4 linked regions of the Arabidopsis thaliana genome follow. The protein of the gene in region 4 interacts with the protein of the main gene of each other region in a pairwise test. Each region holds a gene or a part of one and is shown on either strand. Other genes may lie near its edges. The genes, in order: SAC3A, TON1A, SAC3B and CEN2.

What was found.
Region 1: the proteins of CEN2 (region 4) and SAC3A interact in a two-hybrid assay, tested with the Arabidopsis thaliana proteins (one study listed by BioGRID).
Region 2: the proteins of CEN2 (region 4) and TON1A come close enough for resonance energy transfer, tested with the Arabidopsis thaliana proteins (one study listed by BioGRID).
Region 3: the proteins of CEN2 (region 4) and SAC3B interact in a two-hybrid assay, tested with the Arabidopsis thaliana proteins (one study listed by BioGRID).

What each region holds. Positions count from the first base shown.
Region 1 is NC_003071.7:16,420,605-16,430,672, reverse strand, and holds SAC3A (SAC3/GANP/Nin1/mts3/eIF-3 p25 family), read right to left. Parts: upstream 7,133-10,068; 5' UTR 6,768-7,132; intron 6,648-6,767; 5' UTR 6,631-6,647; coding exon 6,574-6,630; intron 5,908-6,573; coding exon 5,008-5,907; intron 4,707-5,007; coding exon 4,287-4,706; intron 4,141-4,286; coding exon 4,039-4,140; intron 3,780-4,038; coding exon 3,682-3,779; intron 3,559-3,681; coding exon 3,390-3,558; intron 3,230-3,389; coding exon 2,747-3,229; intron 2,666-2,746; coding exon 2,525-2,665; intron 2,398-2,524; coding exon 2,338-2,397; intron 1,970-2,337; coding exon 1,839-1,969; intron 1,817-1,838; exon of another isoform or gene 1,633-1,816; intron 1,557-1,632; coding exon 1,423-1,556; intron 1,328-1,422; coding exon 1,098-1,327; intron 998-1,097; coding exon 902-997; 3' UTR 565-901; downstream 1-564. Other genes in the region: ABCG1 (ABC-2 type transporter family protein), read left to right, coding at 1-499; JAL23 (jacalin-related lectin 23), read left to right, coding at 8,956-9,300, 9,504-9,971. UniProt on the Arabidopsis thaliana protein: Component of the TREX-2 complex (transcription and export complex 2), a muliprotein complex that functions in docking export-competent ribonucleoprotein particles (mRNPs) to the nuclear entrance of the nuclear pore complex (nuclear basket).
Region 2 is NC_003074.8:20,378,357-20,385,217, reverse strand, and holds TON1A (tonneau family protein), read right to left. Parts: upstream 3,759-6,861; 5' UTR 3,607-3,758; coding exon 3,520-3,606; intron 3,327-3,519; coding exon 3,194-3,326; intron 3,089-3,193; coding exon 3,000-3,088; intron 2,898-2,999; coding exon 2,775-2,897; intron 2,275-2,774; coding exon 2,150-2,274; intron 2,057-2,149; coding exon 2,031-2,056; intron 1,936-2,030; coding exon 1,779-1,935; intron 1,684-1,778; coding exon 1,641-1,683; 3' UTR 1,340-1,640; downstream 1-1,339. Other genes in the region: TON1B (tonneau 1b (TON1b)), read right to left, coding at 1-101, 206-294, 560-692, 1,001-1,087. UniProt on the Arabidopsis thaliana protein: Involved in the control of the dynamic organization of the cortical cytoskeleton. May play a role in the organization of microtubule arrays at the centrosome through interaction with centrin 1 (CEN1).
Region 3 is NC_003074.8:1,903,053-1,910,189, reverse strand, and holds the start of SAC3B (SAC3/GANP/Nin1/mts3/eIF-3 p25 family), read left to right. Parts: upstream 1-2,892; coding exon 2,893-2,981; intron 2,982-3,276; coding exon 3,277-3,411; intron 3,412-3,563; coding exon 3,564-3,656; intron 3,657-3,827; coding exon 3,828-3,920; intron 3,921-4,139; coding exon 4,140-4,232; intron 4,233-4,492; exon of another isoform or gene 4,493-4,534; coding exon 4,535-4,699; intron 4,700-4,999; coding exon 5,000-5,122; intron 5,123-5,367; coding exon 5,368-5,580; intron 5,581-5,943; coding exon 5,944-6,162; intron 6,163-6,223; exon of another isoform or gene 6,224-6,251; coding exon 6,252-6,499; intron 6,500-6,690; coding exon 6,691-6,791; intron 6,792-6,899; coding exon 6,900-7,115; intron 7,116-7,137. Other genes in the region: P4H2 (P4H), read right to left, coding at 515-810, 901-970, 1,103-1,278, 1,428-1,485, 1,945-2,049, 2,157-2,214, 2,310-2,446. UniProt on the Arabidopsis thaliana protein: Component of the TREX-2 complex (transcription and export complex 2), a muliprotein complex that functions in docking export-competent ribonucleoprotein particles (mRNPs) to the nuclear entrance of the nuclear pore complex (nuclear basket).
Region 4 is NC_003074.8:18,671,041-18,677,305, reverse strand, and holds CEN2 (centrin2), read right to left. Parts: upstream 3,170-6,265; 5' UTR 2,886-3,169; coding exon 2,883-2,885; intron 2,653-2,882; coding exon 2,498-2,652; intron 2,419-2,497; coding exon 2,391-2,418; intron 2,298-2,390; coding exon 2,145-2,297; intron 2,063-2,144; coding exon 1,960-2,062; intron 1,872-1,959; coding exon 1,804-1,871; 3' UTR 1,545-1,803; downstream 1-1,544. Other genes in the region: AT3G50370 (uncharacterized protein), read left to right, coding at 1-207, 295-870; AT3G50350 (membrane insertase, putative (DUF1685)), read right to left, coding at 3,600-3,703, 3,807-4,223, 4,376-4,400. UniProt on the Arabidopsis thaliana protein: Potential calcium sensor.

The sequences.
Region 1 (10,068 bases), on a different chromosome or scaffold from region 4:
CTGGTCAGGAAGCTCCTTTGTCACGTTTCTATCAGGTGTGGTTCCTAGTGTGATGTTGGGTTACACAATCGTCGTTGCTATTTTGGCTTACTTCTTGTTGTTCAGTGGATTCTTCATCAACAGAAACCGAATCCCGGATTACTGGATTTGGTTTCATTACATGTCATTGGTGAAGTACCCGTATGAAGCGGTTTTACAGAACGAGTTCTCTGATGCGACCAAGTGTTTTGTGAGAGGAGTTCAGATTTTCGACAACACGCCATTAGGGGAACTACCGGAAGTGATGAAGCTGAAGCTTCTTGGTACAGTGAGCAAGTCCCTCGGGGTAACGATATCGAGCACGACTTGTTTAACTACTGGTTCAGATATTCTGAGGCAGCAAGGTGTGGTTCAGCTGAGTAAATGGAATTGCTTGTTCATCACAGTTGCTTTTGGGTTCTTTTTTAGGATTTTGTTCTACTTCACTTTGTTACTAGGAAGCAAGAACAAGCGGAGGTGAAAACAACTAGAAGACCCAAATCAAAACATACTTGTATTTTCTGTTTGTAATTCCTTGAATTGTTTAATGAAAATGGTTTCTTTTCATATATATAAAAAGAGGTATGTCTCCTGGATTCCCTTATCTCAAAATCTTATAGAAGAATAAGGATTTCCATATTCACAAAAACGTCTTTACAAACAAATTTGACTTATCTTCCAAACGTTTCCTACTAACAGACTATCAAGTATTATAAACCTAATGTCATACCTGAGATTGTGTGTGTGAGCAGATAATGATGATGATGAAGCCAGAGAGCCTTGGATTATCTTCATTGGTCTCCTTAAGATCAAAAGATATGATGAACTTCGATTTTGCTTTTTCTGTTTCCATCAGACTATAACAAACATTAAAAATATTTCATCATGTACGTGTAAAAAAATCATTGACATCTAGATTTCGATCTCCATGAGCAACTGCGTCTTCGGGTTCTGGCATGAAGAGACTCGTTGATGTCGCCTGCACAAGGAATAACACAACCAGTTCTCAATCCATATCTTGAAAATAAGGATCTACAAGTTTCATAACAAACATATGGCAAATGCAAAAGAAGACTTACCTTGGTATCAAGAAGCATATCTCCGTTGCTGTCAGTAATGATGTTAGCACCATGAGTTTTTAGCCATTCCAAACAGTCCTCCATACCATCGGTCTCCTTTTCATCAGTACCTTCGCTTGCAGCACCAGTAAATCCCAACACTTGGACTATGTATGAGACCGGGATTGTAGGACGACAACTACGAGACATAAAATTCACAGCCTTGTAACGCATCTTCTCCACATAGAGATCTGCAAACATAACAATTTCACCATATCTTTACATATCTACTCATTCAATTGTTTAAATATATCAAGAGAGTTTTCATGTATCATATGACCCTTACCCATGAGGCAACTATTCATGTTTGGTGCAGTCTTGTAGAGTCTGAAGAACATAACATAATTCCCTGATGTGACAGCTGCACGAACTGAAAGAGCATGTCTAACTGCTTCATCCTTCTTATCTTCTTCGGATAATCTTCAAAACAGAGGTCACAAAATTACTCAATCTCATGCATACAAACCCAATTCAAAGAGGTAGTAGTAACCTCTTTGCACTGGTAGGAAGAGATGTTACAAAAACTCAACTATCAGGTAGGTGGACAGAACATTAATAATTCCATTACTAACTCAAAGAAATTGTGTAGCAAACCATATTCTGATATTTCTACAAAACCTTAATTTATAAAAAAAATTCCCATGAACCATGAATGCATCATGCTTAAAAGGAGCCCAGAGATGGGACTTTACAACTACTAACCTGGACATGGATGATAGCAGTTCTCGGTTGTTGTTAGAGTGTAGAGTAATATAGAGTAGACTGTACGCAGCAAACTCCAGAGAGCATCCTTCTACACCTTCCGCATAAAGAGTTTTTAACTGTGACAGGCACTGTAACAAAAAAAAAAATAGAAATCAATTTAGCAAGGCTATACATACCCTAAGAGTTATAGTCTCCTCAGGAATAGACAACAGATGTATTTTACAAGACTTGATGGAACGGTATCATTATATTGCAGAATCAATGCAAACAAAAGCCACAATCCATAGTAACCAGTCATCAGAACTATGCTCCCTTTTGCAAAGTTTCTCTCTGATTCAACACTTTATGTTGCTTTTTTATTTTTTAGAAAATGAGAGACCAGTGAAATTCTAGCAGTGGTTGATACTCTTTAAATTACGAAAAAGACAAAAGTGCTTGATACCGAATTTGAACTAGAAATTCTGATTGATCTATCAATCTATGCTAGCGTACCAACCTGATTATACTCAGGTAAATCCCCTGCCTCCAAAGCTAATCTAGCATGTGTTTCATAAACCTGAAATTGAGATTGCACATGGAACCATTATAAACATGCTAATTGGGTGTAAATAAGATAAACGTTCCAACAGGAAATGAATCCTACATGCAATAACACTCGACATTATTGGAAGTCAGTTATGTACCTTAGCTGTTAAATGATTGTGTATCCGTTGTACTGTGAGGTCTTGGCGAATAGACTTTAGTTGATCACATTTAAAAAGATAATTCTTTTGAGAATCCTGAACCATTATCAGAGCTTTTTCCAAAACATCCTCTGGTCTTACCTGAAAATAAGTCAATCAAAAATATCAGTCATGGTGTCAAAAAGAATACTAGGTATAAGAATATAAGATAGTAATATTTACGGTGGCAGGATCTGGCGCAGAAGTCAGACGGAGATAACGTTTCTCAATTTCCTGGCAAGTGCCTTTAACAGTTAGTGCATCCCAGTCAATGTCTTCCACAGCTCTGCTGCCACTTTCATCAAAAACTTTGCTAAGCCTCAAGGCAGTGGCTCTTCTAGAATGCAAATTTCCAACATTTGCATTCTTAGGTTTTGTAAGATCATTCCCTCGGCTGTGGCCTTGAATTTTTTCAAAACGCTTGGAACGACTATCACGTCGCTTCTTTTCCTCGGCAGAACCAGCAAGTGCCATTGCACTGGAATAGTAAGGTGTCAAATCCTTGTCACTATCACTAGATGCCTCATCATCAATGGCAGTAGCTGCACCACCAGAAAAACGCTGTCGCTTGACAGGCCGCTGGAAACTTTTTTTTGCAGAATTTTGCCCAGAATAAGTGGGCTTGAAGCCAGTGGCAGCATCCACCTTTTGAAAACTCTCAGAGCTCTGCAAAATTTCCGATTATCAGAACGACTGCAAAAACCGAGTTCTAACAGCTAAAACATTAGACCAACTGCTAAATGCCTCATTAAACCAACAGCTAAATGCCTTCTTTTCAATTCCTTCAACCAGACATTAATAAATAATAAGGAAGAGATTGGTTAACCTTTTTGTTGTTTTCATTTTGGTGATTCCAAACTCCAAATTTAACAGCACTGCTGAAAGTTGAAGCTGGCTTCACAAAAGGTTTTCCTTCCACCAACGGCTCCCATCTACTTTTGGGTCGTCTTGTTGGGCTCTTATTTTGTAACGAAGAGAGCTGAGCGGAGCTTGACCTATGGCACAGTGTAAAACTTAGTGGGCAAAACATATGAAGTAAGTGTTCCAGACATATCATATAGAAGAACGAAAGTTATAGATCATGCAGGCAGCAGTGGATGGAGGAAAAAAGGTCGTACTCAGAGTTAGTCACATTTGTGGTCGTGACAGTTGAGAGAGGCTCAGTATCCCAATCTCGAGTATAAAGAGTATTATCCTCCTTTGCTTTTTTGACAATCTAGAGATACAAAAATAAGCATTAGCAATGCAAAGCAACCATAAATTAACATGGTATTCAAATAACTGCTATATGATTTCTTCCATAAAAGGCATGAAATTATCTTAAACATACTACAAATCTACTCGAAAGATCAAGTTGAAGAAGTTCATCCAAATTTTGCAATAATATTAAGATGAGCAGAGTGTGTAACTAAAATCATCTATCATGCTACAATAGTCCAACAACCAGAGCGTCTACAATTCCTACTAACATTTACCTTCCTCAGGGCAACCTCGCAAGATTCCTTTTCTTTATCATCTTTGCAGCGGGCAAAAGCCCTCTCAACAAACCCACGAAGCGATTTTGGGAAGGTTCCAGGCTACAAGCATCGGCATTATTTGTTTCCAATGTCAATTACTCAATTGTGAGAAAGAAACAATTACTCAACACACAAATTTATGGTGGCCAACATTTAATATCTACTTCATTTGCTAGGTCATCAAGATTTGAATAAAGGATTCTTACGTCAGACATAGCAGTGGTATGGTCTTTAGGCTTTGGCATTGAAACACTAACATATGCAGGTGCTTGGGCTGCACTGGCTGCTGTACTATCTTTATCCATTTTGGTAAAACCTGATGGCAAGTTTGAAGCAATTCTAGGGTTAGTTGGAATCTGTACTTTGCTTACCCTTTGTGAATCCACTAACGGTGCTGTCTGAGTAGGCTGGCGATAGCCTAACGGTGCCTGGTGAAAGGAAGACTGGGAGTTCATCTCTTGAGGATATGTAGCTCTCTGATGACCCTGAAAGGGAGTCTCGTATAAAGGTTTTGTCTCCAGAGGACTCTGGTAATTATTTTGAGGTGGAACAGGATGATGAGCTTGCAGACTTGGTGCTTGATGCATCCAGTAAGTATCATTAGATGTACTAACAGCTGCACCAGGCTGAGAGAATGATGATAAAATGATTACTAAGTTAGTATTCAATAAAAAGGACCCCCATGAAAGAAAGCAATCAGAGATCATGTCTAAACTGTCTGCAAATAAAACATTTAAGAATTGACTCTATGCAGTATTGCTTGGTAGCTAACAGGTCAGTTACTATCACTCTTTTCCCAACTTAGTTGATTTATAAGGACAATAACACACATTTTATCAAGTAGCTGAAAGCAGAAAAGCATTCTAAACTCAAATAAGCTTAAGGGCGCAAATTTACTCTACTCCCTCATGAAAGTAATATCTGAACCTGTTGAGAAGGTGGATGGGATGAGTCAGTTTCCGGCCTCCAAGGTTGGACATAAGACGGGGCAGGCTGACTATTTGAAGCAGGCATTTCACTAGTAACACCAGGAACTGGAAAGCTCTGACTATATGCACTTGTGGTTGGGGTAGACAGCTTTTCTGTGCCTGGGGCACAGGGGACTTCTGTTTGGCTGTAATATTCTGTCCATTGTTGGTAGTTCTGTTGATAATGTACAGGTGGTGTGGTCGCAATAGTAGAGCTATGTGTGTTAGCAGCATCAGGAGTATAATTTTGATAAGGGTTTGAGGTGTAATCCGTATAGTTTCCCTGGTTCGAAGCAGGAGTCTGATTGCTGTAATTTGTACTTGGGTAACTTCCAGCCGTTTGGTTGTTATAGTTCGTACTTTGGTAACCTCCAGCAGTCTGATAATCAGCAGGATTGTAGTAAGTTCCTGAATAACTTGGAGTCCCAGCATAAGATCCTGGATTCTGAAATGAGGAAAGAGGCTGAGGAGCACCTGTGTTTTGATAAGCCCCTACAGGCTGAGGATATGACTGGCTAGGTTGCTGTTGATAGCCACTGTAGTAATTGGAATATCCCGTGTTTGAATAGTTGTGTGGGTCAGAAGAGGTCTGGTATGGCGTATATCCACTATAATCTTGTGCCACATTTGCAGTTCCGGACGTCGATGAGATAGTGAAGGATACAGTATTCGGTATCTCTTGCACATTGCCTGTGGCTGGCCCTGTCGGCTGTGGATGGTAATAGTTTGAATTTGAATAGTTCCCATTCTCCACAGCCTGATTTTCAACAGAATGCCCTGTCCATGGGGCACTTTCAGACCCAGTTGAGTATTGATATGAATATTTCTGTGTTTGGCTTCCATCAACACCATATCGATTCTGCATAAAAGAAAAAACATTAGTACTGGCCAAGGTCTGAGAATCTTCATTTAACAAGTAGACATAAACAAAAAGTTGAAGAGTGAAAAGAAACATAGACAAACAACAAACAGAAATGTCATCTCAGATAAAGACTACATTAGGATGCTAAAGCCTCCCACAGTCTCAAATCAATCTGATTGAATCAAACAATAAAACTGCAAATTTCCATGAAGTAAGTGATCAGCAGCTAAGTTTCGTAACAATACCTAACACCTAATAGAAAATGTTGTACTTTGCATCATTGAGCTGTATTCATAACATATTACTAGTGAAAATCATACGGCTCCACAGAATTGATGATAGGTCTATTCTTAAAGCAGAAACTGATTTTCTGAAATGTTCCAAGAGTTCACATACGGAGCCTAGAATCAAAGTCACTTTTTTTCTGCTGCATAAACATACTGACATGCAAAATTCCTCTAACCATTACAATGGTGAACTAACAACAAGCATAACTTTCATATCTACCAAGTTAAATCTGGAGCAAACTAAAATAAACAAATTCAATTCGCAAAAATTGAACCAATGCACGAAATTTCACTTGCATATAAAGACTAAATAAATCTGCAAATTGGAAAAATTTAAGCTTAAAAGAAAGAGAAGGCGCAAGAGATTGTTAATTACCTCAATGGAATTAGGGTCCATTGGTGCTACGGCCTGAGTGTTCCCTCCGTGATTCATGCTTTATCATCAACGTCCTGAAAAATCATCACACATACGATTGAACTTACTTCCCAATGAACATAGCAGAAAAACTAAATTCATTCATTGAAAAGCCCTAAATAGCAAATCAGAGATAAAGCGTCAAGAATATGTACCAGTGAAGCTCCAATTTGTGTCTTCTTCGTTCGGATGAAGAATCGAATTGAAGATAGTAGAGCAGAGCAGGATTTGAGATCAAAACCAAAAACAAGGTAACAAAAGGAAACGAATAGAACCGGAACAACAACAAAAAAAAAAAAGGCAGATAAAAATAAAAAGCTAAAGGGAAACAATCAAAGAGAGTTGTCAAAATCTATCGGAAATTACAGAACACGGAGAAAATCGAGGAATCTTGCCGAAGAAGAACAATTTTGTTGTGCCGGAGACGAAGATTGTCAAATTTTTACGGTATACTAGCGTCGTCGGGTCGGTTCGGTTGCGGATCAGGTTTAGTCTTTCCGGGTCGGGTTTTTATATAGCCACTAATTGGGCCCATTATCTTTCGGACTTGCCTTTTCTTAGTGGATCTGAAGAATGCAAAAAAAAAAAACAACGTCGACAAATGAAATAACAAGCATAGTAAATAATTAAATATATAAGATTTCGAATGTTTACGGTTGTGTTGACGTCAAAAAAGAAAACATTTATATGATAAGTATTTGGGTTAAATATATAGTCTATATAAGTTTTGGTTGAATCAATGTTTAGTTTAGACAAATCTTGTATTGTATATCGTTACATGTAATTTAGCTTAGGTCATGAATTTAATGTAGTTGCTTCTATCGCCAACCCTTTTGGCCAAGAAATCCGGCAAAAATAAAAAGTGCTTAACATGTAGTATAGCAATCACAACAATCTCTAGAAACTAATTGAGTGATTGGTTGAGATAAATCTAATAAGTGAAAGAAATTAACCATAGAAACAAGCTATTGGTGATGAACGGAGTAGCTATCTAAAATATGACTACACTATAAATCGACACAATATTCGAGAAAACAATCATTATCCAACATATATATATATATATATATATATATATATGAATTCGAAATTCGTATGTACAGATTATGTTCTACGCGAAAGTGTCAAATGTTTAGTAAGAAATCGGGTTTTAATCCATATAATAGATATCAAGGTAAGATTATACTGTTGCGGTGATTATTATATCGGTGAGGATAGAATATTGTGGCTGTGACTTTGTAACGTTAAAAGTTTAAGACAAGAGAGGAAAGTTTATGAGCAAGTAGGGTAGGATATATAGATGAAATAAACGTGAGAAATGAATATGTGGATGCAATTTCAGTTTGTTGTGTGGGGCTTGTTTAATACTATACAGTATACTTATATCGTCATTGATTTATATAGTACACCTATAATAGAGCTATCAACATCACACTATAAATATTTACCCTACCATGCATTAGTTGATTCCTCTATCTGCGATTAGTGGAAAATTTTGGTATTTTATTGCGATGTATATGAATAGGGTACAATGTTGTCATGGTAGTATTAGTTTATTACCAATCACATATCCAGCTTAGGAAATGATTATAAAGCTATGCATTCATACTTGGACTAACAAATAGTTTAGTTTGTTTTTTTTTCATTTTTAAGGATTAATTTGGTGATTCAAAATGGATGAGGATCTAGCGGAAGTTGGCACTTTGCGGTGATGAAGGAGGACGTGAATGGGACGACGATGTAAACAGTATATGAAAAATATTATAACAAAATTTCTTTGTGAAACAAAATTGTTTTGTTCCTCTGTTCATTACAATCATGGATGTCTCCATCTGACAACTTGTAATATGCTAGTATTATTGGACTCTTATCAAAATCATCTATTGCTTTATTTGTTAGAACCTCTCGTCTCGTGACATATCGTCCAGAATGATAACATGCAGCCAGGATGCTCTTGAGATCTCTAATATATTTTGGGTTAGTTTGGCTATTTCTCTTCTAATATGACTTAAATTACAAATTATGGGGATTGGTTTGGCCTTGTAAAATGTTTTCCTTCTCATATTCTTTTTGAAGGAAAAGTAAAGGGAACAGAAAAAGGTCAATCATGATTTAGTTACAACTTACAAGTATAACTAAATTATTGGAATCAACAAAAACGTGTTCCAAATTGTATCAATAAATAGACATAGTTGATAGTTCCTTAATTTCATTCTGAATAAGATCAAGAATTTACAGGTTCTCTCTTCTCTCTCTCTCAAGTTCTGATTTGTTTATACAAATTACAACTTTAGTTTCGTAAATAGGTACTCATTAGTTGATCATTGCTCTCTATGTCTTGCTATGCAATTCAATAGGCTAGTGTATCACCAATCACAGATCCGGGATCCCGGCTTAGTAAACATTATAAAGCTTGAATATACACTTTATTTGGATTTGGATAATTTAGTTAAAAAATTCATTTTACAGTATTTGAAAAAATACAAAATGGCGAAAATCTACCGGAAGTTGACAGGCTACGGTGGTGAAGGAGGGCGTGAATGGGACGATGATGTATATGAGGGTGTAAGAAAAGTGTATGTAGGACAAGATATCAATCGTATCACTTACGTCAAATTCGAGTATGTGAAGGAAGACGGCCAAGTCGTAACAACTGAATATGGGAAAATCATTCAACAACCCAAAGAGGTTCTTCACTTCATTTACCCTCTCATCACATTCCAAATTTTCTACATCAAATATCTAAAACTCACACTACAACACTATAACAAACTATTATACTACAAGCTCCGATCAATTATAAGTTCTTTTCGTGAATTTTAGTTTCTTGATTTTTTTGGTTAGAAATTTTAATTTCTTGATTGAAGAAATGATATTTAATTCATAAACAGTTTGTACTTCAATATCCGGACGAACATATCATAGCGGTGGAAGGAAACTATCGCGGAGTGGCTCTATGTGCCACAGAGGTGATCACAAACCTCGTCTTCAAGACCTCAAAGGGTAGAAAGTCACCACTGTTTGGTCCAAACTTGCTTGGAATTACGACCGGTACAAAGTTCGTTATTGAGGATGGAGGAAAGAAGATCGTAGGGTTTCATGGACGGTCGGGTAATGCTCTCGACGCGCTTGGAGTTTACTTTGTACATGGCTCTCTAACAACGTCTCCGCCTGTTTACAAGCTGGATGCCCAAGGTGGTACAGACGGGCGTGTTTGGGATGATGGTTCTTACGACGGCGTTAAATCGCTGCGTATTGGTCAAGATAATTCTCGTATTACTTATTTAGAGTTCGAGTACGAGAAAGGCGGTAAGTTAGAGACATGTCGCCATGGGGTGAAACAAGAAAGATCACTGAAGGTAAATTTCTAGAAACTGTGAGATATAGTAGAACAACCAAAATTTAGGTCTTAAATATAACTTTTGATATCTTGCGACAGAAGTATTCTTAAATTTT
Region 2 (6,861 bases), 1.7 Mb from region 4:
AGAACATCCAGAAGAAGCGGTCTACTATCTTCATTTCTGTTGAGCTCATAACCATTGTTGATACTAAAGTCACGTATCTCAGACTTCCAAGAATCTTTTGCCTTTGCATAGGTTTTCAGGGATCACAGCATCAGTTAGAAAGTTCATCTTCAACGTACTTAAAAGAAATATCAGAAGTTCAAAGAAAATGAAATATATTGATTACCGAATTGCATTCTGGTTGATAAACTTTAAGCGTGTGATTTAATTGCGCCCAGTCCAAATATTCACAAATCAATGCAGATAGCAACCTGCCTGCATTTTAACATTTTATAAAGTGATCAAGATGACCTACTCAACTACACAAAATCTCAATGTTCATATCGCCTAAGAATAGAAGCAAGCAAAGTTTCACCCGAAAAAAACAAGGAGACACATTTCGAACAAGCGAATATATCTAAGTATCAAGAAAGCATTTCCAAACCAAGACATGCCATTTAGAACCATACCATTCAAAGAGAAAAGGTCTCTGAAGGGTAAAAGTGAAGAGAAGATATGAAGGATAAAAATTGAGAAAGACCTGAAGGAGAAGCATGAAGCTGCCTTGCACGATCATTGCAGCTTCCCAACAAAGCTGGAGGCAGTCCTTCATTGTTCTCTATCACTCTATCCTCTTCTTCGATTGCCTCAAACACACTTGCACGGAGTTCAGCCTACAGAAACAACTAAAATTTCAGCAGAAGAATATAGAGAAAAAAAAACAAATCTTCAATCTCCAAACCAAATGTTAAAGAATCCAATTCAGCTGAGAAGGTACAATTTTTTCACAGACTCAATTTCAAAGTACGACAAAAACTGGGAATTCACATGATTCCAGATGCATAAAGTAGATCTGGAAGCACGAACCCTAGAAAAGCAATGTATGTTTTCTCTTCTTCTCTGTACTCAAATCTCTCTACGGAATTTGAATGAAGTATGTCACAGAACCAGAGGAATCGTGGCAAGAGAAAAACAAATATACCCGGATCTTAGCGAGAACACCTTTCTTCTCTAGGGTTCGAGTGACTAAGGTCTTGAGATCCATCATCTCTCTTGTATAATCGTCCATTGTTCTTACCGCCAATTTGACGGATCAGATCAAAATAACAGATTCCCTACTAATGCAATCGGATTATTTGGTCACCGGAGAATTCTACAATGCCGTTCTGAGAGAAGCTTTTGCGTCATCCAGAGTTGGCTTCTTCGATACTTTAGTTTAAAGTTTTAAACGAAGAAGCGAGAGAGAGAGAGAAGACTAAAGGGAAAACAAAAAAAAAGTACGAGTAAAACAAACAGTGAACACATCATTCAAAAACCTTGTTTATTACTAGAGACATAATAATTTTGGAGACACTAAAATAAGAAGCAAGTGAATGAAAATATTCAACCACATTGTGCTTTCTTTGATTCTTCTTTCTGAACTCTTCTCTTCCCATAACAAATCTCAAAAGAAAACATTTTACTGTTTCATGTTTTTTGTTCTCAAGGAGACAGAGGTTCGTGCGTTAAAAAAAAGGCTAATTGAAAACGCAGTTGCAAATAAAGGAGAAACATACATATATCACGTACACAAACCATTACTCTACTAATCCAGAAGCTGAAATGTTTATCCAAAGCCTAAATCAATCTCTCCCTTCTTCTTCATTTGTTCCATCCCTCACATTCCTACAACACAAGCAAGCCCGATGGATCAGATTTACCACAACTTGCTTTGTTTTCATTTCAATGTGGGATTCAATGAGACTTCCTTGAAAGCTTACCTCCAAGACGATGTTAAGTTCCGAGTTTTCCTATCAAGCTGTAGATTTTCCAGCGCCGCTGAAGCTCTTGTTACCTCTTCATGTGTATCTTGGTTACCTTGTCTCCAGTTGAATTCATCTTTTCTGTACCCAGATGTAGACAACCCGGCTCTTCTATCTGTAACATCTTGTCATATTTATTTGGTATCAAAAAATAATGAAGCATACGTATTTCAACCAATACTTCAAGAAACTAGGGAAATGATGACTCACCCGATGCTTGAGATGCAGAAACCGGCCTGCCCATTTATTTGAAGGTAAATAAAGCAATCATGTCGAAGAGTAACGATCTTTGATTTGGCATAATAATAAGAAGTTGAAGATATGTGTACCTTCGTTGAGGAGGTAAGCTATCAGAAGCAGATGATCTGCGAGGAGGATTTCTGGACTCAAGGCTTGATGACGACTCTGTTTCTGAATCTCTCCTTGAACTACTACCCATGCCCTGCGTCATGCTCTGAAGAAAAAATTCATTACAAAAAAAAGTTGATCACTACATCTGAGGAGCATACGGCAAAAACAGATGATAATGGTTTTAACTATGATAGGATGGAAACATGATTCTTAGATGTGAAGAGAACTTGAGGCTAGGAAATTTGCTAAACGTGTTTTTCAAATCTCTGAAGAACTCTAATCTCTACTAAGAGACTTTATTTTTCTTGGAAAACTGAATTTTACTATCTATAACTTCTTCTCTTGGTTGCGAGGACAGAGTACCAAGATTTTATGTAAGTTGGTGTTTGTAAAGCTTGGGTGTAAAGTATTGATCATCTTCACTTACATAATAGGAACTGTTAACACTACAACTCATAAATCACACATACTACAGGTGGACTATTGTAATTTGTTTAGAGTATGGTTGTAAAGATTGTAAACTAAGAGAAGAAGTTATAGATAGTAAAGTTCTGTTTCACACTTGGCTGCAAACATCTTCAGGGGAAAAAAAGAAAGAAATACCTCAAACTTCAAGAACCCTTCAAGAACATCGAGAAGGAGTGGTCCACTATCTCCATTTCTATTGAGCTCAAAACCATTGTTGCTATTAAAGTCGCGTAACTCAGACTTCCACGAATCTTTTGGCTTTGAATAGGTTTTGCAGGAGTTCACCAGATTAGTGAGAAAAATTCATCAACAATCTTCTTAATGAAACATAGCAAAAGAAAACGGGATTATATTGATTACCAAATTGCTTTCAGGTTGATAAACTATGAGCGTGTGATTAAGTTGTGCCCAGTCCAAGTATTCACAAATCAACGCAGATAGTAACCTTCCTGCATTTCAACAAAAATTTCAAACCAAGAGATGCCATTTAGAACCAAACCATTCATAGAGGAAAGATTTAAAAGGATAAAAGCAAAAACTTGTGAAGAAAAAACCTGAAGGAGAAGCATGAAGCTTCCTTGCACGATCATTACAGCTTCCCAACAGAGCTGGAGGCGGTCCTTCATTGTTCTCTATCACTCTATCCTCTTCTTCAATTGCTTCAAACACACTTGCACGGAGCTCAGCCTACAAACACAAATAAACTATCAGCAAGATTCCAGATGCATAGGCAATTAACAATATCGAGCATTTCGATCTGAATAGCAGGAACCCTAGAAAAAGAGTAATGTATGTATTTCAAACGAATCACTTCTCTGTTCTCATTTCCACTCAAAAATTTCTGCGAATAATGTATGGTAGAGAAGTAGAGGGAATTTACCCGGATCTTAGCGAGGACACCTTTCTTCTCTAGGGTTCGAGTGACCAAAGTCTTGAGATCCATCATCTCTCTTGTATAATCGTCCATCACAAAATCAAATCAAAGTAAGGAAAATTAGGGTTTCTGGGTGTAAAATTGGATTTGGCAAAATTGGGGTTTTTGGCCGTCGGGAGAGAAAGACGTTGAAAGATGATAAAACGAAAACAGTAAAAGAAAAATAAAAACAACACTTTTGCCAAATCATCCCCTTAAAGATTGATAGTTTCCACTCTCGTCCGAAATTTTAAATTTTGATCTTTTGCCCCCTATGATTGTGAAATGTTTCTTAAATGTTTTGTCTTATCTTCCTTTTTTGAACGAGAATATGATGTCAAGTTCACATTTTGAGATGTAACTCAGAGATCACAACACATTTGCATTCATGGACAGAAAAATCATGAAGTTCGGTCCAATATTGCCAAGCATATGATATGAAATGTGTATGAATCATATTAGTTGTTTGAGCATTTTCTAGTGATGACTGACTATTATTTGATATAGAATCTCAGAAAACGAATGAACAAATAAGCATTAGATTTTCCACTCGCAAGTTGGGTCAGATCAAGGGCAATCGCTCCTTCTTAGATTATAATATTGGATGGAAAGGCCTAACCTTGCTTGTCGTTGGAGTTGTATGAAACTTTGGTAACTTTAGTGTTACTCTAATGGATCAGTATCATCTAGTTGTACAATATTGACATACTACACTTACTAATTAAAAAAAAAACCAAATTAATTAGTTACATTCAAGCAAAATGGGAAAGAAAAAGCTAATGAGGATACGTGTTTACGAATGAGCATTTGAGTATCCAACGCTTTGGGTTTGTCAATGGGATGAATCGGAATAGAAGAAGGCCCAAGAAAGAAGAAAGTCCAAGCTCGACTCTTGTGTTAATTATTAAATACTATGTATTGCTTGTGATCTTATAACTTAAAGTAGAGAGAGTACTTGGAACTACTTTTCTTTCTTCTTGTAACTGTGTATTGCTTGTGGTCTTTTAACTTAAAGTGTAGTCGATTCTTCTTATAAGAAAGAAGCCAAGAAACTTATTTATAGAGTTTGAACCAAAGAATATGATCAAAAACGTATATAAATCCGATTTCTTCAGTTGTTTCTTGTTTCCATTCTCAGTTTTATTCACCTACTTCTGTTCTGCTTCTTTTTATTACCATTTTAGTCCAACGGTTATGTAGCTTAGTGTTTTCCATTTTGATGTCACATACTCACCCTCGCAAGTCTCACTTCCCTATATAGCTAAAAGAAAAGAATCAGAACTAGTTCAGGACTTAGGAGCACATGGTTTTTTGGAGAGGGTATTCTCGTCATTTTAAGCATTGGCTTTTGGGGGAAACGAGGAGGGGAAGCTACCACGTCGCCCAAAACTGTTCCCACATATATGCGTCAAACATTAAACCGAAAACGTTAAAACAATTTTTTTTCTTTATATAGAGATTTGACAACAAATAATAAAATAAAAATGCCCACCAATTATCAAAGAATATGGTTGAATCTTCAATTATTCAATTTTATAACGTGCTTCATGCGTTTCCACTCGTTTCTCTATCACCCCTTTTATAGATCTACTCTACCAACAAGCCCCATATTTATTAATCTTAGCAATCGCTTCTCAATCTCCCTCACATACAAAGTCCATAATTTTCTGGCCGGAGGCTAATCTTAGATAATATTTGTGTTTGACCTACTAACGTATATCATATTTTCCCCAAATGTATCATGGTGTAGTTCCTAGGTCTCGAATTCGGATCCAACAGAACCCTTCTAATCGATTGAACATAACCAACTATGAACTATATATATTTAGGTTAAATTAAAATTCTATCATGAATTTACTATATATGTGATGGAAAAAAAGATTCGGGATGAATGAGAAACTGGTTTTGAAGCTAGAATAGTTTTTAAAACACTTTAAAATCATGTGTTTATCAGATGTGGTTTCATAACACTATGTTCCTACTAAATACAAACATCCTAATTCGTTTTTTAAGCCAACAATATGAGTTTTATTCATATTTTAAGTCACAATCCTAGCTTAATATAAGACTTCAACAAAAAATTTAGCAAAAAATTTGGGTCCGAGTTGCAACCTACAAATAGATTGTGTTGTTTAGGTGTAGAAAATAGAGACTATAAACATAAGTGCATAAAGCACAAGGTTAACAAAGAAATTGACCCATCACTAGTAATATTCTGATAAAAATTTCAAAGCAGTTAAATATCAGAGATTTTTGCATATAGTACACGTTCAAGTATTTTAACCATTTCAAGAAATTTGAGTGGTAGACAATATTTCAATTTTCGATTGAGTAATAAACTTTGAAGTGTGTAGATGACTTCAAAACACATTATCATTGTGAATTATAGGGTAATACGTTATTGTGCAATGCAAGTTATTAATAATGTAAGAAAAAAGGTTACTCTTTTACCTATTGGAACTAGAATGAACAGAGATATTTAGTCTTACCAAATAAGGAAAGGCCGATTCCTTAAAATCTAATATTTTCTTGCATATCTGGATAAATTGAACGGCTGGGATTTGAGAACCAACTTATCATCAAATCTATCATAATTATTTGTAAAAAGAGAGATATAGATTTGGAGTGAGTGATTGGTGAGTGGTTGAATAATATGACAATTGACATAACCCCACTGTCCCTCTGTCTCCATTAAGGTTTCTCTCTCTTCCTACTCTCAATACAATAGTAGTAGTTGGCATATTGGACCCATCCTTTTTTTTTGGTTTAGGCCCCAAACGTGTAAACATCACACCATCTCTCTTATTCTTTATTCATTGACTATAACACATTTATCATTTTATTGTATAGTTTATGTTGTGGTCTAGATTATCATCTTTCTTGTTCCTCCAATAATTTGGAATTGAAGATCCATCCCACTAGTGATAAAGAAGAAGAAAAAAAAGGCTTGAGGATGAATGTGTTAAAGAAGGATAGTTAAAATATTTTAAATGGTTTATTTAAATTTATGACAGTCCATTTGAAACTCCTTTTCTTCACCAATATTTCAGTATAAAGATGAAATGCAAATGGTATCTCCTTCTTATAGATTAAACCATAACCTAAATCAACTCTTACGAAATCTCAGTTGATTGTGATTTATGTATATTGGGATGCGAAAGCACAACAACTAGGTTTAATTTCTTCTAAAATGTGTGATAAATAAAATATAATATAAAACTAACAAAAAAAATCTGTCGGTCTCTCTAATTTTTCGTTGCTATGTTTTATCCATATATCGTAATCTTTAATTTAAATGGAAAAGGGTTG
Region 3 (7,137 bases), about 17 Mb from region 4:
AGTGTAACACCTATGTTTTCAACGTCAAAGTGCTCCGATATAATATATTTTAGGAGCTGTGTGTAAACAACATTTCGACTTGTTCTTCTTTCTCGCAAACATCGGAAGAATCCACCGGGAAAGTATCATCTGCCTTGCGCTTCCTCGATTCATTCTCCTCAGATATCTCCATCATCGAATTATCATCATCCGCGTTTTTCAATTTGGAATCCATGTTGGAGTAAACAACCCTAGATCTACGAGAAACGACGACTTTTGTAGTTGATCTAAGTCACGAGACTCGATCGCAACTATTTCAGGGGGAAAAATAATCTATTTTCAAATTTTTCATCACAAAAAGTTGTATTATATATTTAACGTAAGTTGTTTTAATATAATTCAAGTTAACCAGACGAAAAAAATCATTCTATAAAGCGAGACGATACATGTAACAACAATCAGAAACAAGAAAATGAAACTCGATCAAGAAAAAAAAACTTTTAATGTTACAGAGAAAAAGAGGAGTTTAAAGTCTTTAACAAGCTTTACAGCTACGTCTGCAATTCCCAGGGATCTCTGGAGTTCCAACCATATACTCTGGATTCTTTCCACATTCTCCAAGCACTGCCCATCTCTCACAGCTCTCGTTTACGTCAGTACAGTTACCATCATGTGTCAATATCTTATCGAATGAGTCCACGTGGATCCACTTAGTAGCCGACCATTTCTCTCCTTCGATCACTGGACAACCTCCGTGAAGGCTAAAGGGGTCTGGGATTGCGTCTTGTTGGAGGTTGAAGAACAACAGAGCATTCCCTTTCTTCGGTTTCACTAATAACATTACCAACCAATATCAAACACAAACATTCTTAGAGATAACATGGAAAGAACAAGTCATGATTCCTTTTATATATAGCTCACCAGCGATTCCTTTCTTTGCACAATCAGAAAGATCGTCTTTATTCTCAGAAAGCGAGCGGCGAGAGAATTCCTGCGCAGAAATATTCATCATACAGAAAAAGAGTAAAGACCTATTTGTCCACGTATATAGAGAACCAATACAAGATTAGCAATTGTGGAAATGTAAGCGGAAATTGGTGGTATTGTCTGAAAAACAACAAACCTGTGCATCGGGGAAAACAGTTTCTCCACCCTTTGTGACATTGGACAGATACAAGAGAACCGTTGCTATGCGGTGTCCACCACGGGCAATGTTGACTTTGTCGTGGAAGTAGTCAAAGTGAGCATCATATTTCTGACCGTGCTCATATCTCAATACCTGAAGGTCTTCCCCGTTTTCTGTGACCACAAAGTGAAGAACTTAGGAAACAATAATATCTTCTGAAAAACCCTTTCAAGAAACTCAACAACAGTTAAGGTTCCTTGTCAATTGACATTGTGAAACAGAGAGACCACTATTGAAAAACCATTCAGATTGTTAAAGTTACCTTTTGGGAGAAATGTCCATGTTGAGAGCTTGTCCTCGATACCGGAAACAATAGGATCCTGTCATTAAACAAACGAAGCTTCACATTAAGATTGTAATCACACTGAGATATCTAAATTTCTCAAATCTGTTCCTAATAATCACTAAGTATCATTCATCATCCTTCATCCATACACAGAAGTAAATTTATGTCTAGCTATCACCCTAAAACCTTTTTAGTAGTAAACAACAATCACAAATCAACACAATTTGGGGTCAATTTACTAAGATCTCGACTTATCAACATCATTTTATCAAACTCTGATGACCAGTTCAATATGTGTGTGAACTTTTGGATTGAATTATTCTAAAATTTCTATTTCCATCAGATCTTGAGGGGTTTGACTTATCAGATCCATTAGTATCAGAAATCACATCAGAGATTCAGAGTTCTTGAGGTCGAGTGTCATAAATTAGAATCAAGATCAATTCCAATCAAGCCATTCAATGAGATCTGATGTGCCGAATTAAAATTGCACCTTTCCTTTGGAGATAAAAGTGCCGGAGCTGGTACGAACATCACTGACTTGACTCTCGCCATTATCGTTATCAGCAACCGCAGATCTCTGCAGATTCTCTTTCGCCTTTCCCCAAAAAAAAAAAAACCAAAATTAGATACTGAAACTAGCACATTTAAGCCAAAAAGTTTCCAAATTTGAGCTCAAACCCAAAGAGCAAAATTCGCACTCACAAGAGAGATTAGATGATCACATTCCAAGTCCGTCAAAAAACCTTCATACACAAATGCCCTGAAGAAACAGTCAATACACACAGTTGGAGGTTCAAAGTTTCCAAATTTGCTTCATTTCTCACTAAATAGACAAGAGAAAGAGTAAAATCAAACCTGGGCTTCGACGAAACCTGTTTGACTTTAGAAGGATTGATGATAGAACTTGGAGAACTAATCAGACAAGTGGAAGACTGAAGCAAGACGAGCAATATAGCGACGAACAACAACAATCCGAGCCGAGACATCGACATTATAGCAATCGTAGTAATTTCTTGGATCCAGATGATCGAGATCGAAAACTAGAGGATAATTTTATTTATTTTTTCTCGGAAAATAAAGAGGGAAAAAAAATGTCAACGGTCATGAAAAGTTGATGTTCTACCTAAAACAAGGAGGCTCAAGGGAGATGGTGACAACATGCGCACGTTCTTCTTGGTTGAACAATTATTCTTGTTCCTTGACCAAAGCCCATAATAAGCCTATTGTTACTTAAAAGGCCCAACATAAAATTCGGAAATAAAAACGACGTCGTTGGTTTTAAACGTAAAATAATCCTCGCCGGACGGAAGAGGCGTCACCAGAACAGAAAATTCAATTTGCTCCGGTTTCGACTTTAGCCGGCGACGTAATTAAACGAAGGTTGAAGGAGAATTAGAAGAGAGGCAGCGATAATCAAGTCAAGGAATTTTCTCAGAGAATGGCGTTTAGGCCTTTCGGGAAGGACTTAGGTCCGATGAGCTCTAAGCCAGCGCCGTTTACACCGTTCGGTGCTTCTTCAACCACTAGGTGTGCTCTTCATTCTCTATAGATGTATCTATGCTTCAATCGGACTTTTCTTCGAGTTTTGAGATTTTTAGGATTCATTTCACGCTATGGATCTATTATACTCAGAGATTTTTTTGAACTGTCAAATTTACATATATGCTATCGTTGTATTAAAGTGTTTAGGATCATGAGAATGAGAGAAGTATCTTGAATTTTCTATGATATTGTGTTCTATATCACTTAGGCAGTCGGGTTTTGCTTCTTCATCTTCCTTAGGAGAAGCTGCGAGTTGCTTTACTTTGCTTTTTGTTCTTAGATTGTACCTTTCTTTTTTATTCTTACACACTGCGAATGTTGGATTTGCTTGTAGTGATTCATCAATTCAACCACCGGCGTCTCAAAACCATTCAGCCTTTGCAGGACAATCTTTTGGACCTGGTGGAATTCGAAGGTTAGATTAACCTTAGCTCTACAGCTTTGATTTCTTTCTATGCGAGTATGTTAGGTTGTTTCTGAGCCTCCATAGGAAGAGCCTATTGTGCTACTTGTTGTAGTTTTCTTTCGTAAATTCGCTCAGTTTTCTTTCGTAACTTTGGCTTGTAGTGGTCCTTCAATTCAGCGAGCACCACCTCTGTCGGCTTCTCAAAACCCTCAGCTCTCTATAGGGAAACCTTACCGACCAGGTGGGGTTCAAAGGTTAGACATTCTTAATCGTATGGCTTGCTTTTATTCCTTTTCTCTTTCAGTTCTATGTGTCTAATGATGATGTTAGGTTGGTTACTTATTCAATTATTAATTTTTCAGTCTACTCTCGGGTTTTCTTCTTCTTTAGATTCTAGCCTAAGTTATTATGGTTTTTGCTTGCAGTGTTCCTCCAATTAATAGAATACCATCTCCGTCGGCTTTTCAAAATCCATCACCCTCCTCAGGACAACCTTACCAACCTGGTGGAATTCAAAGGTCAGATAACTTACTATTATGGCTCTCTTTTTTTTTTTTCACTCCTTATACCTGTAAAGGATCTTCGGGAACCCAAAACAGTGAAGATGGGATAAACCAAATTTTCTGTTTTCTTTGGCTTTGATTCTTTTTGTAAAACTTCTGCTTGAATCTTCTATATGTTGCACTAATTTTTACGCCGAGAAAGTTATAAGAACACTTTGATGCTATGTTTTTCAGGATCCCAGAACCTTTCAATGGAATAGCATGGGGTCCAGAAGCTTCACGTACAAGCCCCTCTGTGAGACCTTACCAATTTCCTGGAGTTCAGAGGTAAAAGTGTACGTGACATATTTTGACTAAGAAGAGTGTCATTACTCATATGCGGCTGTGTTAATCACACATCTCAAATGCTTTCAGTTTCTGCAATTGAAATTATAGCAGTAGGAAGAAAGTAGAGTGTGGCGGAGTGCTATAAGTTTCTCTGCCTAATACATAAGGGCTTACTATGGCAGCGGCTTTGAAGCTCTAAAGAGATCATTATCGCTGGATTTGGCTTATAGCCTTTAATAAGCAAGCTGCTGGATTTTTCTTAACGACTTAGCTGAATTTACCTGCTTCATTTTTCCTCACAGGCCTAATTTAAATCCTCAATATGGGCACGATGGATCAAGGAATTTCTTGAAAGATCATGGTGAACATAGTCGAGCCACGTCTCCACCTGCTACATCTCACATTCTTTCCAGAATGGGAACTGATGCTGTTGAGATTGGTCGATCACAAGATTCAAAAAGAAAAAGGTCGTTTATGCCATTTCCTTTAGATCAAGGTCATTTATGCCAGCAGGATCTTTCTGAAATAAACATTCTGTCTGTTTTGTATCCCTATCTTATCCTTAACCTTTTAACATCTGTCCTTGTGGGAGTTTACACCTTCCTTGTTCTGCATCATGTATCTTACTCTTTCAGATTTTATCAGTTTGTTGTGTGGCCTAGGTGGTATGAATGAGATGTCATAGACATGGCCATGGTGTTTACTGATATCCTGGTTTTTTTGATGTAACTAATATCGGTCTATAAAATTCTCAATTTTTGTTGCAGTCGGTCAGATATTCTTCCTGACCAGAATATGGGGTTTTCTCGAAGAAATCAATCGCCAGTATCAGGTTTTGAGAATGGAAACTTGGTAGATGGTTTTCAGCCACTTTCTAGCCGAACTTGGATGTGAGCTTTTTATCCTCTTGTCAGTGTCATAATGTTTTCGTTTCTCATTCTCTTTTCGCTGTTGGTTTTGATTGGTTTTAAAAAGGTCATAAAATATTTCATTTTGTGGTGTCTTTACTCTTTGTGGATAATGATTTGAACCATACCTGTGTCTTTGCTCCTTGATCTTTATACTAATTTATTGTTCTATCCTCTCACTAACTTTTGAAACTTATTTCCTGGAACCTTTTCTCATGTTTGTGTAGGCGCTCTCCGTCTTCTGCGGAGAATAATCCGGTGAGGTCGAGGAGCAATCCCAATCAGTTGATTCATCAAGAACAAACCGGAAACTCGTCATTCCCCTATGCACATGAAGTAGCTGAAATTCAGGAAGCTACTAGAAGAAAGTCTTCGGCTGTAGCACCTTCTGATAAACCCCTTGGAGATGACCCCATATTGTCTCAACATGACTCTCAAAGGTAGACAGCATGAATCTCATCGTACATTCTAAAGCTTATTATGTTTTATTCACCCACTCTGTGCCATACGTGTACGTATGAATGGCAGGAGAAATCACGATTATAGAATAGAGTTACAATCCTAAGAAACTTTATCGTTAGCAAATCGGCTTAAGAAACTTTATCTTTAGCAAATCGGCTTATGAGCGTATTCACCTTAAACTTAGATGGTTGCTTGGAAATTTTTCTGCTACTAGCCTTTGAAGTCATGCTTACTTCTCCTGCAGCTTTATCTTAATGCTATTGCAACAAATCTACTTTTCTCTATCTGGTTTGATGTGCCTTTGAGCTTCCTCCTAGTTAAGCATGCTGTTTCTGTGATAGGTTTTCGACATCTCCACCTACGTCAGGCACAAAGTCATATACACTTTCAAGAAGTTCAGATTCTCAATTTCCTGGACAGCCCTCCTCTGTAAATAGTTTCAATAATGCGCGTAAGACAAACAGTTCACCTGCAACAAAAAGGACGAGATCTCCACCTGTATATCCAATTGAAGAGGATATCCCGCGAAACTCTTTCCCTTCTCAAGATTGTACAGAAGGGTACAATATTTAATCACGCAGTATTGACTCTTTGCATTAATCTGTGGACCAGTTCTTAAAGTTTTCTAAACGGTGTGGATTTCTTATAGAGAAGAGCAAGCCAGGGCAAAGAGACTGGCCCGCTTCAAGGGTGAACTGGAGCCTATTGCAGACCGACCTGTTGATATTCAACTTACTAAATCACCTGTAAATAAAACTATGAAGCCTCTGGACAACAAACAAACATTCAATTCGCTTGAATCAAGTAGGGATGCCCTGAAGGGAGATGCCTTGCCTGATTATGAAAACTCGGAGCAGCCCTCTCTTATCATTGGAGTATGCCCTGACATGTGTCCTGGTAAGCATATGCCTGAGACATGCATTAAATTGACAACTGAGTGTAAATAGTCTTTGGTTCATATAATCTGATAAAAAAAGAATTGTGTTGCCAACGATATTTATTTTGTCCATAAATGATGGCTAGTTCTAGTTATAGTAATCTGATCGCAGAACAAATATAATGATGGACTTTTTTCTTCATTTTCCCAGAGTCAGAACGGGGGGAGCGTGAGAGGAAGGGTGACTTGGACCATTATGAGCGTGTGGATGGAGATAGGAACCAGACAAGCAAATCCCTTGCTGTGAAGAAAGTAAGCTCACCTTTTTAATATCATTTAAGCTTCAGATTCTTTCTTAGATGAAATATACTAGACCACTCATTTGCCATGATGACTACTTATATATCTGCCTTTGGATAGTATACTAGGACGGCGGAGCGAGAAGCAATTTTGATACGACCAATGCCAATCCTGCAAAATACAATGGAATATTTGCTGAGTTTGCTAGACCGACCTTACAATGAAAACTTTCTTGGCATGTACAATTTCTTATGGGATAGGATGAGAGCTATACGTATGGATCTAAGAATGCAACATATTTTCAACCAAGAAGCTATTACTTTGCTGGAGCAAATGGTTTGTGTTTTCTGATCTTATA
Region 4 (6,265 bases):
CAGTTTGGAGGGTTGAGTTTCATGGGAACAACTTACATCCCATCTGGAAAGCAACCAGATTGGAAACACAACCCAAACGTATCTTCTTCTCCGGTTGGAGGAGATGGTGATGTAAACAATCCTAATGTGGCTTCCATGCAATGTAACATTGTACCTGCGTCTCTTCAGCACCTTCCTATGCCAATGTTTGATCCATCTCCTTTCCAGGTATTGGATCCCATCATTATGATTTCCAATAATGCTAACTAGTAGAAGAATCCATCGACTTAATATTTATTTTATGGTGTGGGTCAGTCTTCTTCTCAGGAGATGCCTATTCGAGCACGGTGGCCTTACATGCCATTTTCGGGTCCTCCAACGATGCAAATGCAGAAACAGCAGGAAGGAACAGATGGCTCCAATCTTCCATCACCTCAGTTTAACAACAACATGCTTCCTCCTCCTCCTCCTAACAGATATCCCAACGTTCAAGCATCCACAGTTGTAGACGCAATGGTGGACTCCTCAAACGCTTACAGTTCCACCACTGGTGCTCCACCAGCAAAGCCCACCTCCACGTTATCTGATCCCAACAGCAACAACACTCAGAATCCAAATGGTCCTGGCTTCAAGCCACCACAACAACAACAACAACAATCTTCTCAGGAGAAGAACACGCAGTCTCAGCATGTTGGTGGGCCCAGCCACCACCACCAACACCAGCACCATCAAAACCGGAGATCGGGCTACCATGGCAGAAACCAACCCATGGCCAGAGAGAGAGGCTTTCCGAATAACCCAAAGGTCAAGCAAATCTATGTGGCTAAGCAGACTGGTAACAGCTGTGCCTCTGCTTCCTCTACTACCACCACCACTTCCCCCTCAATTTGATGATTCTTCACCATCCAGGTCCGTTCAGATATAAACTCATCCCAATAACCCAACCAGCTTTGGCTTCATAAGAAGATTTGGACTTTTTTTCCTTTCAATTTTCCCATATATCAGTTAGCTTCCTTTTTTTCTTCTTTTTATCCTCGTTAGATAATTAGATTTTGTTCTCTTTACTCGTTTGGGGATTCATTATATGGGGACTTTGGTAATGCTTAATTTCGTCATGGTTGGTAAAAATATTGTCGTGAGGTTTTCGGTGTAGAATACCCAATTCACGGCCCCAATGTATCTGTTGTCAACATTATCTTTATAGCTTCTACAAATCAGTACACACTCTTATTGAATTAATTTTTTATGCTTTACTTTTTTGTTTCAAAACCCTTGTGCAATGAATCGACAACTTTTAAAGTTTTAAGCTAACTTGGAAACTTTGCCTAAGGAAAATGCTTTGTTATGATCAATGGATCTTTTTTTCTTTTTGGAATCCATTGATGTAAGCTTTCAAAGGTCGGATATGTTATGTAAGTGAAGTTTCCACAGTTGTGTAACTTTACAACTTATGGTTGACATAAAATGGTACCACTTTTTGTGAAAGAAAAAATGATGAATCGACAACTTTAATGCAACAGGGTATTATGACAAGACAAATCTAATATCTTTTTCTAGATGATGATGTGCGCAGAGGTCCAAATCTTGACGACTTATGAAGTAACCAATGCGAGCTCCTAAAGTTTTTCACTAAGACTACGAATATTTTGCCAATTTATACATCTTATAATGATACAAAGACAGACCAAGACTTGCCATTAAGATGAGCTATAGATTAAAACTGTGATATATGTATCTTCAGTAATAATATTACAGATAATTAAGCCTCAGTTAAAGAACTATAATAGAGCTCATCAAATATCGTTAAGAACAGCAACAACCTTTCTAGTTACCACCATAAGCAGTTCTCCTCATCATCCTCATGAATTCATCCATGTTAACTTCACCATCACCTGCAGTTTTCAGTAATGTATCATATATCTTTAGTCAAACCAAGCATTGTGCCACAAGAGAATGAGAAAAAAGGTTTAGGACACTTACGGTCTCGGTCTGCTTCTTCAACCATCTCTCGTATCTCAGCATCAGTGAAATTCTCACCCAAGTCCTTTGCCATGCGTTTGATATCATCCGGAGATATCTTCCCCTGAAAATTTGGAAGAAAAATAGTTTAGCTTCTAGAAAAATTAAGATCAAATGAAGTAACTAACTAAGTTATGAGTAAATACATTTTTGTCAAGATCAATGATCTGGAATGCTTTAGTGAGCTCTTCTTTTGTGTCTCTTTCACCAATCTTAGCAGTCATCATATGAACAAACTCATCAAAATCTATAGCTCCACTTCCATCTTTATCCACATCAGCTATCATTTTGTTGATTTGCTTCAATACCAAATACATCAAGGTATCAGAACCATAGATATAAACAACGAATCTTAGCGGAAAAAACCGAAAAAACGAAAGAAATAATAATACCTCTTCCGTCATTTCAAAACCAAGCGCCCTATCACAAATGATAATATCAAGAATCAATTCCAAAACCATAAAACAAAGACAGAAAGATATAAAGCTCTCGATATTACCTCATAGCAACATTAAGCTCTTTAGCATCAATGGTACCAGAACCATCAGTGTCAAATAGCTCAAAAGCTTCCTTAATCTCTTGCTTCTTCTGTGTCGTCAATCCATGATGACGTCTCGGTTTCTCTTTTCTCGAAACAGTTCTGTATATACTCGACTGCAATAATAACATCCAAAATTCAAAATCTCAGCTCTAACACTAAAGGGTTTCGTCTAAAATCTTCTTCAATCATGGAACCCTAATTTCTTCATTCTAACATTCGCTAAATACAAATCAGATCTTAAAAAAAAAAATCCATCATGCAAAATTGTTATCTAGAGATCCTTAGAAATTGCTAATCTCTAAACATAAAAAAAATAAAGACAGAATCAAAGGTAAGAACGAACCATATCTTCTACGAATCCTCCAAATCGATCGATCAAAGCTCTTTCAGTTTGCGCGTCTAAAGAAATCTAACGTTTCTGCTTTCCTTTACATTGTTGTTGCTTTTCCATACTAAAAAGCGGTAACGATATGGGTCAGATGGGCCTAATAGTGAAGGCCCATAACAAAACACAGATCTGCTATGTGTAGTTCTTAATCAGACAATCAGACAAAACACAGATGTGTTACTTACTCCCTCATCGTTCCCTACACTTTCTCTATTTTCTCACTATTTCGATCGTTTCTTCGGCCATAATTTTTTTCTTCTTTTCAAAAGTTATAATATATATAAGTTACGCTACAAAGATTTTGATCTGAAAGAGATCAGTTAATCTGAATTAATCACTATATGCAAATTCACGTGAATTTGCATAATCCTTTATCAAGCTTAGCAACGAATATAAGAGAAGCCAACACCACTCTCCCATGGACAAAAGTCAGACAATAGAATCTGAGAATATACTTTTGCAAATTGTGTTCTGTTGCATATATAAAATTATATATCACATACTAAAAGAAGATAAATCAAATCAAATCATGCATTATACAATAAACAATATAACTTATAAACAAGTTGGGTCCAACATATATTAGTATTTTACTATTGTGTGTGTAATATTACAACGCTGACTGGACTCCACCGACTGTTTGGCGTCTCAATTTACATACCCTGTTCCGGATTAACCTTTATCCCCACAACGTTTAACAGTCGTTAAAATTATCATCTCGGCGGCGATTGGTTCACGGTGCACGCCACCACTCTCGCCCATTGCTTCAGCTTCGTCTTCACCGTTTGCGGATCATCACCTATTCAAATGAAATTTGATCATTATAAATTTATAATCGTGTATGTGTATATATGTGTGTGTGTGTATGTTTATACATACTGGTTTGGTATACGGTGTGGTGAGGACTGGTATCGCCGTCGGAGAGTGAAGACGACGACGTTGTTGATTTGTTAGAAACGGCGTCGTTGTAGCTTTTTTGAACGGCGAAGTAAAGTTCTAACGCGGGAAGCGTGTTGGAAAGTCTTGGATCAGCGTTTTCGGGAGATCCGAAACCGAATCCGAGTTCGAAACTTGCTTTAAGCTCGTCGAGATCTTCGTCGGTCAAGCTCTTACCACGGCGGAGATGACGGTGGCGGGAGATATCTTGACGTTTTGACCAAGCTTCCTCGCGGATTAGATCAGGAGACCACGAGTGTTGCTTCAAGAGAGAAGTAGAAGGTAACGGTGGCGCGTGTATGCGACGCACTACCCCCGGCGAGGGGGTGTGCGGTGGTGGAAAGGTTTTACGATCAATGGCTGGTTTTTTGGTAATTAAGTCGAAATATTTGGGTGAAAAAAGTTAGGGGGAAGAGAAAAGTTAGTTGAAGATTAGTTATAAAGGAATGGAAGAGAGAGAGAGAGTGTTGCCGACTCAGGGATATTGGGCCGGCCCAAGTCATGATGATGACCTGGATTTGTTTTTGATTGGTTCATTTTAATTTTATTAAATTATGTAATGTACCTGGAATTACGAAGCAACACAAGTTGGCATTGCATAAAAATACTATAAAACTTTGGAATTTCTTCCTTTTTAATCATAGAATAAGGGAATTTTATGAGTAAAAGTTCGATACGAAATCGCTTTTATGAGACTTTATGTAATATGAAGAACTAGTGGGTTGAAGTTGATGTAGATAAACGACCTTATGTGTAACATCATCATCTTTGTATAATGTCCTTTCTGAGATTAAAGATACCGTTTTTAGATTTTAGCAAACGATGTACATTGACTTATATTGGGATTCTGGATTTGTGGCCCAGTTAGCTTCTTATAGCCCAATAACTATGTACTTAGTAATACAGTATGTTAACACTAAACCAATCCTTTTCTTGGTTTGGTTAGAGAACACTAAACCATACATAAGCTAATAAAGAGATTGATTCGAGTAGAGAAACAAGGTAAGGTTTGGTTCCTAACCATGAGAAGATAATCAGAAAAATCTACATCAGAATTTCTCTAGGTCAAGCTTAATTGTTAATAATAGATGGGTAGATATTCTCAATGTGTAAATCAATAATATCCATATGTACGAGAACAAACTTTTTTATGGCCGGTTGAACTAACTGTATTTAAGTGATACTTTACTGCGTGAACTAGTTGTTGAACCAAAAACGGTTCCAATTTAGACAGTGAAACCAAACTCGGCAGACTCTTTATGTTGGACCACAACAACATAGCCGATGATCATTAAGTCAAAAACTTAATGTGGTGGTGGAGTGGATGGTCTTTATACTCGTTAGTGTTTGATGAGCTATATTGGATATATAGGCATGTTCTAAGAATTCTAATACATATTAATGATATACATTTTTGTATCAGAAAGATGCATAGTATAATGTTTTAAATACATCAAAATGTGGTAGTTGGGTTTCAACAGCACCCAAAATTAGAAACTGTTGAATTGCAAGTTGACAATGACAACTTCCTTTGAAAATATATATCATCAAAAGATCGAAAACAGTCATACGAATTAAGTTTGTTATAAGAATTGTTTCGATCATTAAAATAGTTAAAATTTGATATTGTTTATACATTATTGATCTGATATTCTGATATGATCACTATTCAACTTTTGTTTCATTTATGTGTACCGTTTGTTCAACGTAAATTGTATATTCTAATTCACTAGCAAGACCTTGTTATGTTCTCTTTCCCATTTTACACTATTTACGTTACTGTTACCATTCGGATCGGACCTGCGATATTACCACATATATGGTATACTACTAAAACAATCCTTTATGTAAGCTCTTGACGTATTCCACAATATAATTAAACTTGATCTATTAAACGTATCATGGCATGTCCCAAAAGTTTACAATTTCTATACATAAACAGAATTTTAGAAATATGGACTAAATATTTAATCTGCTTAATAAAAACAGTGAAAGAAATACGCAGACCTGCAAAATCACTTTAATTTGGTGAATCTTATGGAACATACAAAAAACAAAATTAATCAAATTCAAAATAATGAAGAATACAATGATCGAAACTCACTTTATCCTTCGCCATCGCACGCACGCTTCTACGATGGTATAGCTTTATAGCCACCCTAAAACCTAACAAGAATCCATTTGTAAAGAACAGACATGAGATATCGACCACACGAGTGCTTACTTTTATGGATAATATATTTATCAAAAGGCGAATGGTTTATGAAAAGGAGGTCGCGAATTAAGGAAAAAAGGTTATCATACTTTATGTCTTAAAAAAGGTTTCTCATACTTTAACTAGAATCGTCTTTTTTATTATAATAGGTTTCGAAGTTTCGATTAGTAATTTGATGAAACGAAGT